Linked DNA regions of Macaca mulatta. The protein of the gene in region 1 purifies or fractionates together with the protein of each later gene. This does not show direct contact. Links are inferred from orthologs where the notes say so. Each region holds a gene or a part of one and is shown in the gene's direction. Other genes may lie near its edges.

Region 1 (3,381 bases):
GTACAGATGGAGTTTCACCACGTTGCCCAGGCTGGTATGGAACTCCTGACCTCAAGTGATCCACCTGCCTTGGCCTCCCAAAGTACTGGGATTACAGGCATGAGCCACTGCACCTGGCCAGTCAACCATTTTTAATTGTTGTATTGCAAATGCTTTGCCCTGTTGCCCTGTCATTTACCTATAAACTTCTTCCCTGCTTTTATCTGCTGCCAGTACTTAGGGAAAAACTTGGTGTGCAGGATTCCCTCTGAGAGATCTGACTTCTTCTTCCATTTCATCTCCCCCAACCCCACCTTCCACTGCCCTGAAAGAAAACCAAGATCAGGGGATATTCAAACATTTTTATTTATTAATGAAAGACAAGGAAAAGGAAAATGATGAAGTAAGCATCCCTCCCCCTAATGTAACCCTGTGGCATCGATGGTGGATACCAAGCTCACATGCTGGTGCCAGCCCATTCCTGGGGGCCGTCTTTCTTCCTGCTACTTGTAGGAACCCACAAATATACCTTATAGTGCCCTAAAAAAATGCCTACATAAATCCACTTTTACAAAAAAGTTATATAATAAATGCCACAGCACATTTGACTTTTTAAAGTTATTTTTTTCTACTCTATGGGCAAATGCACCCCACAAGGGACTCTGTGCTCAGGAAACAGTTGCAGTCTCGGTACACCCCATCTAATGTACGTGTGGATTATATTGGCAGTCTTTATATTCTTACGTATTTTCTTCCAGCTTGATCCTCTCCCAGAAAAGGTTTTACAGCAAAGACCCAATGCAAACGCTGTCCGCTCCATGGAGAAAGTCATGGAAATCCACAGTAAGTTGCCTGGCCGGGTGCTCACAGGGGACACGCTCCTGGTGGCGGGACCCCACTGCCCCACATCCCTGTCCCCCTATACCCCCAGCTCTTCTCTATCCCACTGCCAGCTGCTTCCCCAGGCCTGCAGCAGGAGGCCTTGCTTTCAGCTGCATTTCTTGAGCTAGTAGAGACTCACATTTAACTCCCACTGGATTTTCGCCGGCCTACTGGGATGGTTCCATCAGCCCATTTTGTAGGTCTAGAGAATCAAGGCCCAGACAGTCTCAGTGTGAAGTCACTTGCTCTAGGTCCCCAGCTAGCAGTGGGAGCCATGGCTATGAACCTGTACCCTGGGGACTCCGGCCTCTTCCCTGGACCAGAGAAGCCCACGTCCTTAGATCAAACCTTTGGCCCTGCAAAGAGGCAGGATGTAGGCCCTCCGCGTTCTGGCACCGACCCTCAAGGAGTGGGTCCTGGGTGCAAGGGCGTGGCATGCAGCCTGTCTCAGAGGCACCTCCCACACCCTGTCATTGTTGCAAGCCCAGCTTGTCTTGCCTTTGAGATGACCCAGATGATTGACTGTCTACACAAGCAGGTGTAGTCCAGAGCTTGACTCTCCATTTCCCTGTGTGGGGGAGTCCTGGCCTTAGAGCCCTGAAGCTGACCCTGGGCCAGGCCCAGCCTTCCACATACACCCGCTTGTACCTGATGCAGGACCCCTCCACCCCCAGCCTCTGTGAGGGCCCAGGCAGAAGATCCCTCAGCCCCAGCAACAATCCACCAGCTCATCTTCTCCCAGAGATAGGAAGGCTCAACCCAGCAGGCTGGCAGCCCCCACTCCTGAGCTCCCAGGGCAGAAAGGAGCGTGGAAAGCCAGGCCCACAGGAGCCTCTGTCTGCAGTCCTAGCTGCTCCTGGAGGGACTCGAGCCACTCACGATGGGGAAACATTTCCAGAGATTCTCGGTCTTCGCGAGCTTGTAGCCATGCAGTCCTCTGCTTCGCGTCTCTTCAAAGACGGGTGCTTTTAAAATCATAAGGGATCAATCTCGTTTGAGGCTCAGGGTCCCGCAGGACCCTCCCGGGCCGCCGTGCATCCTGCTAAGGTGTAGTCACTGAGCGACCTTCCTCACCCCACCCCAGGCAAGTACTGGCGCTGCCTGCAGCGTGCAACCTCCACGGCAGGGCGTTCTCTGATCGAGGCTCAGACCTGCGAGAACGAAGAAGCCGAGACGGTCACCGCCATGGCCTCGCTGTCCGTGGGCGTGAAGCCCGCCGAAAAGAGGTGAGCACCTGCCCTGCCGGCCACCTGCCCTGCTGCCCACCTGCAGGCTCACCCAGCCCCACTGTGTCCAGGGACACTCTGTTCAGGGTCAGAACATTTATGGCATGTGCCATGCCAAACAGACTAGAGACAGGCCAGCGGGGCCCCCTCCTTCTAGTGCCAAAGCCCCTTAGAGACGCATGAGGAGCGTTAGATACTGAACAGATGGACCCGGTGCCCCCGGGCCTGGGTAGGCTGGCGGGTGGGGCAGCGCACAGCCTTTAACCCACATTCTGTTCTCTCCTCTCTGTGGTCCACCTGCCCCATGCCCTGTCTCTTTCTCTTGCGGGATCCACAGAGCAGACGAGGAGCCCATGGAAGAGGAGCCACCCCTGTAGCACTCCCTCGCAGCTGCTGTTCTCTTGTCTGTCTGTCTCTGTCTTGAAGCTCAGCCAAGAAACTTCCCCGTGTCACGCCTGCGTCCCACCGTGGGGCTCTCTTGGAGCGTCCAGGGACACCCGGCGCACAACAGCCACGGGAAGCCTTTCTGCCACCCAGGCCCACAGGTCTCAAGACGCACATGCACACCTGGGTGTGGCAGCCTCACAGGGAACACGGGACAGACGCCGGCGACGCGCAGACACACGGACACGCGCAAGCCAAGCACACTCTGGTGGGTCCCGCGAGGGGCGCCGTGGAGGAAAGAAGCCTGTGGCAACAGGCGGCCGAGCTGCCGAATTCAGTTGACACGAGGCACAGAAAACGAATATCAAAGATCTAATAATACAAAACAAACTTGATTAAAACTGGTGCTTAAAGTTTGATTATTACCCACAACTCCACAGTCTGTGTGTAAACCACTCGACTCATCTTGTAGCTTATTTTTTTTTAAAGAGGACGTTTTCTACGGCTGTGGCCTGCCTCTGTGAACCATAGCGGTGTGCGGTGGGGGGTCTGCACCCGGGTGGGGGATGGAGTGACCTTTAAAGAAAACAAAACTGGACAGAAACAGGAATGTGAGCCTGGGGGAGCTGGCTTGAGTTTCTCAAAGCCATCGGAAGATGCGAGTTTGTGCCTTTTTTTTATTGCTCTGGTGGATTTTTGTGGCTGGGTTTTCTGAAGTCTGAGGAACAATGCCTTAAGAAAAAACAAACAGCAGGAATTGGTGGGACAGTTTCCTGTGGCCAGCCGAGTCTGGCAGTGCTGGCACCGCGAGCTGGCCTGACGCCCCAAGCACGGGTACCAGCCGTCATCTCCGGGGCCAGGGGCTGCAGCCCGGCGGTCCCTGTTTTGCTTTATCGCTGTTTAAGAAAAA
Region 2 (3,567 bases), on another chromosome or scaffold:
CGCCATGTTGCCCAGTCTGGCCTCAACCCCCTAGGCTCAAGGAAGCCACCTGCCTTGACCTTCCAAAGTAATCCTGGGATTACAGGCATGAGGCACCATGCGCAGATCATGTGGAAGTTTTTAATGTTAATGTTTAGATGCTATTTATCTTTATCTTTTTAAAATTAATTATTTTTAGAGATGGGGGTCTTGCTGTGTTACCCAGGCTGGACTCCTGAGCTCAAGAGATCTTTCACCTCACCATCCTGTGTCTACTGGGTCTGCAGGCATATGCCTTGTGCCTGGCTGGATCTTTCTTTTTTAATGGCTTTTTTTTTTTTTTAATAGCTTAATTCATTTTTCCTTAGAGATATCACTGAGGCCTGATATTTTTTCATGAAGTATCTAAGTTTTATTCCTTTACATTAATGTTTTTAGCCCCTTTGGAACTGATTTTTATATATCGTGTGAGGTACAGATATTTCCATTTGGGCAGTCAGTTGTCTTAGAACCATTCATTGTCCCCTTTCTGTTTTCATAATGCCACTTATTTCATACACCCAGTTCATGTATATGCGATTTGTTTATACCTTCTTTGTTATTCCATTTGTATATTTGCCTTATCTGAATCAATAGCACAGTTTTAACAATTCTCACTTTATAAATCCCTCTTGTTATTGTTCTTCAAAATTTTTTCTGTTCTTGCCACTTTAGTCATCCGTATTTCCAAAACAGCATACAATTTTGGGTTTTGTTTATAAGTGCCTTGAATTTATAGGTGAAATTAGGGAAAATTGTTACTGAGTTTTATCACCCATAAATATGTTATACCTCCGTTTATTTGTCTTTTATTCCTTCAGTGAAGTTTTATAATTTCTCTGAGGATCTTTTTTTCCTAATGTGTTTTGAGGTACCTTATGGTTTTTATGTTACTGTGAATGACCTCTTTTAAAAAATATATTCCTTTTATATAATAGGTGTTGCTCACATTTAGAACATTTTCAGTGAACTCATTTAGTCCGTTGTGACAAAATCAATTTTAATGAAATTTGGGCATAGAACTGTAGAGTGCTGATGGAACATACAACAAGACATTTAAGGGCATTTGACCAACTGTTGATACTATTTTGTTTTCACTATTGTGTACCAAAAGTCTTACTTTTTCAAAGTTTGAAAATAGTAAAATAGTGGATTTTCAGTGCAGGAGAAAGTTATTATCCTATTGTTATATATACATCTAGGTTTTTTGTTTTCCCCTTTCTTGCATGATGAATTGCCTAAGCATTTGATGAGTAAATTTTAGAAGTCTTGTGCCAGTATACATACAAATTTGAGGTAGATGCCGACGATCCAAGCCATTGGCCTTTTTAAATGTCTTAGCTCTGCCTTGTTGACCATAATGTTTTGGTTCATTATAGCCCAGTTCAAGCTTAGAGATTGGTAAGTGCTTTTAAAAGAAAGTTGTTTGTTTTTTTCATCTCAAGTTGACTGTAGATTGAATGTCTGTAGGTTGACTATAGATTTTATTTTTTTTTATACCTCAGCAAACTTTAGATTTTGTTGTTTCTACTTTTTTCTCTTCTCATTAACGTAGATATTTAAAGCCTGCTATACTTGAACTTAATCTCATAAATTATGAGAAATTTTAAGTAAACAAAGCAGTTGAGCCTTCCCAGCCTGATAATCGGTAGCAATGTGTCAGTACCAGTGCATCTGTGATTCTGTGATTTGTGCCACGTTACCAGGCTAAATTTGAAGAGGAAAACTCGGTCAAACATTCTTCCAGCTTAGTTGTCATCTTGGATAGGCTGAATGGGAGATATTTGCAAGGTGCATGATTTGTTGCCATGTTGTTTTACGTAGATCTGCCACCTCTAGCTTGACTTCAGGTTACCATAAAGCTGCAGAGGTCACTTTTCTGATTTGTCGGGGCAGAACACCTGAAGCACATTTTTGAGTTTTCACAACAGGACCTCTGATCTTTGTCCTGCTATGTTGACTGGTTTCATAGAAGAATATGTTTTTGTACTGAGTTTTAATTCTTCAGTGGCAGCTGAATAATAAAATAACTTTGTTACATTTATGATTCAGCTTAATTAATGATGACATTGTTAGTATTCCTGCCTGTGTTTTTTGTTTAAACTTATAACATCTTTCAAGAATAGTGTACATATCTGGCTGGGAACTGTGGTGCATGCTTATAATCCCAACATTTTGGGAGGCTTGGGTGGGTGAATTGCTTGAGGACAAGAGTTCAAGACCAGCCTGGGCAACACGGTCAGACCTTGTCTCTACAAATAATTTTTTTAAAATCAGCTGGGCATGGTGGCATGCACCTGTAATCCTAGCTACTCAGGAGGTGGAAGCGGGAAGATCACTCTAGCCCAGGAGTTAGAAGGTGCGATGAGCTATGATTGCACAACTGCATCCAGCCTGCGTAACAGAACAAGACTCTGTCCAAAAAAATAAAAAAGGAATGTACATACATTATTTTAGCTTTTTTTATAATCCCCTAGCTTAGGAACTGGTCAGTAAATATAGAGTGAATAACAGAGTTACACTGGAATTATCTTTATTAGTTTGTTATACTTCCTCTTTAAGAAGTTCTGTCAAAGAAATTCTGAATTTATTTTGTTTCTTTACATGTTAGCTAGACTCATGCGTCATTTAGCAACAACAAAAACTTATTTGATAGACTGAATGTTTACTTCTAGCTATTGTTGGCTATGTCAAAGAGACCAGATACCTTAGCCAAGAATGGTTATCAACACTGGAGAAACTGAATATGTGTGTGAGTAATCTTTTGAGAACAGGCTGGTATCATCTTTTTATAAAGGGATCGTATTACAGTTCTAGAATTTCAGAACTTATTTTGTATAGTTGAAGCTAAGTCCCTCCTTTGATTGCTAGAAATAAGGCCATGTAATATTTTTATTTCAGCATTTGGATTTATTATAATATGTATTATGATTTTTAAGATTTTGTTTTTCATTCTTTTAGACAGGTGCTCTAGTTCACAGCTATAGGGGAACAGGTGGAATTTTTGAAGTTTGCTGGAATGCAGCAGGAGACAAAGTTGGAGCCAGTGCATCAGATGGTTCAGTAAGTATAGTAAAGTGTTTCCAAAGAGGGTGTGGGTGGGTATTCACATCAGAATGCAGCTTATTGTTAGTGATACCAAAGTTGTTTTTTTTTTTTTTTTCTCAAAATAAATTTTAAGATATGATACTGATTTTTTTTTTTCCTGAGGCTGTAAACTTCTCATGTGCGTTGGATTTAAATAGTGTAAACCAAATTTAGGCTGTCCTTACCAAAAGAGTACCTTATAATCTAGAAATGGACAGTTATTTTTAATGTGAACCTTCATTTATGAAATTAGGTATACCAGAGTAACATTCTGAGAAGGATTGAAATTTTTAATGTGTATTTCTACCTTCTCCTCTTCACAGAAGAGTTTTTTTTTTTTAGCTCAGGGAAGGCAGAACTAGAGGTGGTTCCTGTGTTGAGGAATGTGTGATACTGGAAGATTTTCAGAATGAGGTTGGCCAAGTCTTTACAACAATGCAAATATGGCTTCCAAAGCTGTAG
Region 3 (3,523 bases), on another chromosome or scaffold:
ATTTTGAGAGTAAAATGCAAGCCCTTGACTGGAGGAAGATGTCTGCAATGTATGTTTCTGAGAAAGGACTCATCCACAATACTTGTCTACAAATCAGGCAGGGCAAGAAAGAGATGGGAAAAAAGACTTGAATGGGCACTTGAAAAAGGATCTCCACATAGCTTGTAAGCATATGACAAGGTGTTCAGCATCATCAGCCTTCAGGAAAGTGCAAATTAAAGCTCAGTGACATATCACTACACACCTCCCAGAACAGCCAATATTAAAAAAGACTCAATGGTGCAAATGTTGAAGACATAGAGCTGGAACTCTCATCCGTTGCACGTGAGGCTGTGTATTTAGGGTTTGATCACTCTGAAAACGGGAGTGGAACTGGAGTGGAATTTGGTGAAGCTTGTTATACAAACACCCTGTGAAACAGCCCTTCCACTCCTGGGTCTCTATCCAGGAGAAATGAGTGCTGTTTCTGTCCGAAGAATGTTCATGGTAGCTTTATTCATAGTAGCCATAAAAACAGAAAAAACCTCCATGTCTGCCCACAGTAGAGCAGATAAATTTTAGTTCATTCATACAGTGGAAAACTATTCAGCAGTGAAAAATCAAATGCCTGCTGTAGGCGGCAACACAGGTGGCTCTCACAGATACCATGTTGAGTGAGGAGCCAAACTCAAGAAAACACACCATTTATGTCAAGTTCAGAAACAGGCAGAATGAAAGAATCGAGATGATGGAAGTAAGAATAGTGGTTATTTGGGGAGAACAGGGAGCTGTCAAGTGAAAGTGGGGGACCCACAAAGCCTGCACTTTTGATTTCTGTCTGAATCTGTTCCAGGACACAACCTCAGCTTTAGTTTCTCTCCGAAGTCCTCCTCCATTTCCCAAAACAATTGACTCGGTGCAGGCGGAGTTCCCTGGGCCCCATAGATGAGAGTGGTTGCCTCCTCTGGGCTCCTGGAGGACCAGGAACTTTCCCTTGGGACCACTTACCACTCCCTTCTTACGTAGCAGTTTGGTCTCTGTCTTGCTCCTGGCCCGGATGCCTCATGGCAAGAAACAAGAGTGATTTAGCTCCGTATTCATTCCATATACATTGTAGGCCTCAGTGAATATGTGTGAAATCAATGAAAGATACCCATTTGTTGGGCCTCAGAGACTTGGGAGTTCTGTGATTCTGTTCTACTTTCCCAGCCTGCTCTGATCTCCCTGTTTGGGGCCCCAGAGAAGTCTGTTGTTGTTTGTCATACTTCTGACTTTTAAAGTAATTGGTTGGTTGGTTGGTTGGTTTTTTTGCAGTTTGTTTGGTTTTCCTTTGAGACAGAATCTCGCTCTGTCGCCCAGGCTGGAGTGCAGTGGTGCAATCTCGGCTCACTGCAACGTCTGCCTCCTGGGTTCAGGCAGTTTTTGTGTCTCAGCCTCTTAAGTTGCTGGGATTACAGGTGTGCACCACCATGCTTGGCTAATTTTTGTACTTTCAGTAGAGACGGGGGTTTTGCCATGTTGTCTAGGCTGGTCTTGAACTCCTGGCCTCAAGTGGTCTGCCCACCTTGGCCTCCCAAAGTGCTAGGATTGCAGGCATGAGCCACCGCGCCTGGCCTTGATTTTACTTTTTTTTTTTTTTTTTTTGAGACGGAGTTTCACTCTTGTTGCCCAGGTTGGAATGCAATGACGCAATCTTGGCTCACCACAACCTCCACCTCCCAGGTTCCAGCAATTCTCCTGCCTCAGTCTCCCAAGTAGCTAGGATCACAGGCGTGCACCACCACACCCTACTAATTTTGTATTTTTAGTAGAGACAGGGTTTTTCCATGTTGGCCAGGCTGGTCTCAAACTCCCGACCTCAGATGATCCACCCACCTTGGGCTCCCAAAGTGCTGGGATTACAGATGTGAGCCACCATGCCAGGCCTGATTTTACTTTTAATATACACATAATTATACATATTTATGGGGGTATAGTAGTGTTTTGATAATGTGTGCAAATGTGTAATGATCAAATTAGGATAATTAGCATATCTATCACCTTAAATGTTTACCATTTCTTTGTAATGAGAACATTCAAAATCTTCTCTTATAGCTGTTTTGAAATATGCAAAATATTATTGTTAACTATGGTCACCTTCCTGTGCATTGAGCGGAGATTTCTCATTCCTGTGTATGTCCTGGATTCTTGAGACTCCTCCCACCTTGGGTTTGGTGTATCCATGTCTGTGTATACCCTCTTGCTCAAGAGCCCTGTGCCCACCTGTTGCCCCAGTACGCTCCCTTTCCCTGTCTCCTTTTCGCTTTCCAGCACCCTGCAGAGTGAAGTCAAGCCCATCCTAGAGAAGCTGACCCAGGACCAGGATGTGGACGTCAAATACTTTGCCCAGGAGGCTCTGACTGGTAAGACCTAGAAAGCAGGGAGCCCTAGCAGGAGGGTGGACTTTTGAGGACAGGTGCTAGGCTGTCCTTTGAGAACAAGGTCGCAGCTTCTGGGAGGGGGAGGTACCATGGCATTGTGGGCAGAGAGAGGGCTGTGGTTCTGATTCTTGCCTGTTCCTGTTTTCCTAGTTCTGTCTCTCGCCTGATGCTGGAAGAGGAGCAAACACTGGCCTCTAGTGTCCACCTCCAACCCCCACAAGTCCCTCTTTGGAGAGACACTGGGGGGCCTTTGGCTGTCACTCCCTGTGCATGGTCTGACCCCAGGCCCCTTCCCCCAGTACGGTTCCTCCTCTCCCCAGCCTGGGAAGATGTCTCACTGTCCACTTCCCAGTGGGCTGGGGGAGCACGGGGTTGGACAGGACAGCGACCCTGGGAGAAAGGGGCTACTCTGCCCACGTCGGGGAGAGATGTGAGCATCCCGGGTCACTGGATCCTGCTGCTGTAATGGGAACCCCTCCCCCATTTACTTCTCCACCTCCCGTCCTTCCCCTCATTGGTTTTTTTTGTGTGTGTCAACTGTGCCATTTTTATTTTATTCCTTTTATTTTCCCCCTTTTCACAGAGAAATAAAGGTCTAGAAGTAGTCAGTCCTCTGGCCTTAGTCATCAGCATGGAGGAGGGGACACCACCCCAGAGTCATAACATCTGCCCTTTTCTCTGGAGAAGATCTTGTTACAGGACCCATTATACCCCTATGTCCCAAGAGAATTCTCTGGGGATCCCCCCAGGAGTGCTGCTGGCCTGTGGAGCAGAGGGTCCACGAGGTGCTCTGGCTGCTGTCCTGTAGTGCAGTTCAGTTTCATAGATGTTGGCCGAGTATTTTGGGGGTTAAGAGCAGGTGCCTTGGAACCAGACTACCTGGGTCCAAATTTTGGCTCCTTCAGTTAATAGACGTGTGACTAGGAGTAGCTTGTTAAGTCTTTATGAGCTCAGTTTTGTATTGTGTAAAATGAGAGTGACATTAGTACCTAGATTGCAGGGTGGGTGGCGAGGACCAAGTGAATTAGTACCTGGTAAGTGTGTAACAGTTTCAACATGAGAAGTACACAACATGGGAAGCAGAGTTAGCTGTACATTGCCAGAGAACCCCCTGTGGGCCATTT

The links. The genes of interacting proteins can lie anywhere in the genome.
Region 2: the proteins of HDAC4 (region 1) and TBL1XR1 purify together in Homo sapiens (affinity purification with mass spectrometry; 3 studies listed by BioGRID and IntAct, with this or other methods). This does not show direct contact. The link is inferred for Macaca mulatta from reciprocal best matches to the Homo sapiens genes HDAC4 and TBL1XR1.
Region 3: the proteins of HDAC4 (region 1) and PPP2R1A purify together in Homo sapiens (affinity purification with mass spectrometry; 3 studies listed by BioGRID, with this or other methods). This does not show direct contact. The link is inferred for Macaca mulatta from reciprocal best matches to the Homo sapiens genes HDAC4 and PPP2R1A.

Annotation. Positions count from the first base shown.
Region 1 is NC_133417.1:144,295,735-144,299,115, reverse strand, and holds the end of HDAC4 (histone deacetylase 4), read left to right. Parts: intron 1-737; coding exon 738-822; intron 823-1,945; coding exon 1,946-2,087; intron 2,088-2,424; coding exon 2,425-2,464; 3' UTR 2,465-2,872; downstream 2,873-3,381. UniProt on the Homo sapiens protein: Responsible for the deacetylation of lysine residues on the N-terminal part of the core histones (H2A, H2B, H3 and H4).
Region 2 is NC_133407.1:88,995,769-88,999,335, reverse strand, and holds part of TBL1XR1 (F-box-like/WD repeat-containing protein TBL1XR1), read left to right. Parts: intron 1-2,979; coding exon 2,980-3,081; intron 3,082-3,567. UniProt on the Homo sapiens protein: F-box-like protein involved in the recruitment of the ubiquitin/19S proteasome complex to nuclear receptor-regulated transcription units. Plays an essential role in transcription activation mediated by nuclear receptors.
Region 3 is NC_133424.1:64,420,243-64,423,765, forward strand, and holds the end of PPP2R1A (serine/threonine-protein phosphatase 2A 65 kDa regulatory subunit A alpha isoform), read left to right. Parts: intron 1-2,289; coding exon 2,290-2,381; intron 2,382-2,549; coding exon 2,550-2,566; 3' UTR 2,567-3,007; downstream 3,008-3,523. UniProt on the Homo sapiens protein: The PR65 subunit of protein phosphatase 2A serves as a scaffolding molecule to coordinate the assembly of the catalytic subunit and a variable regulatory B subunit.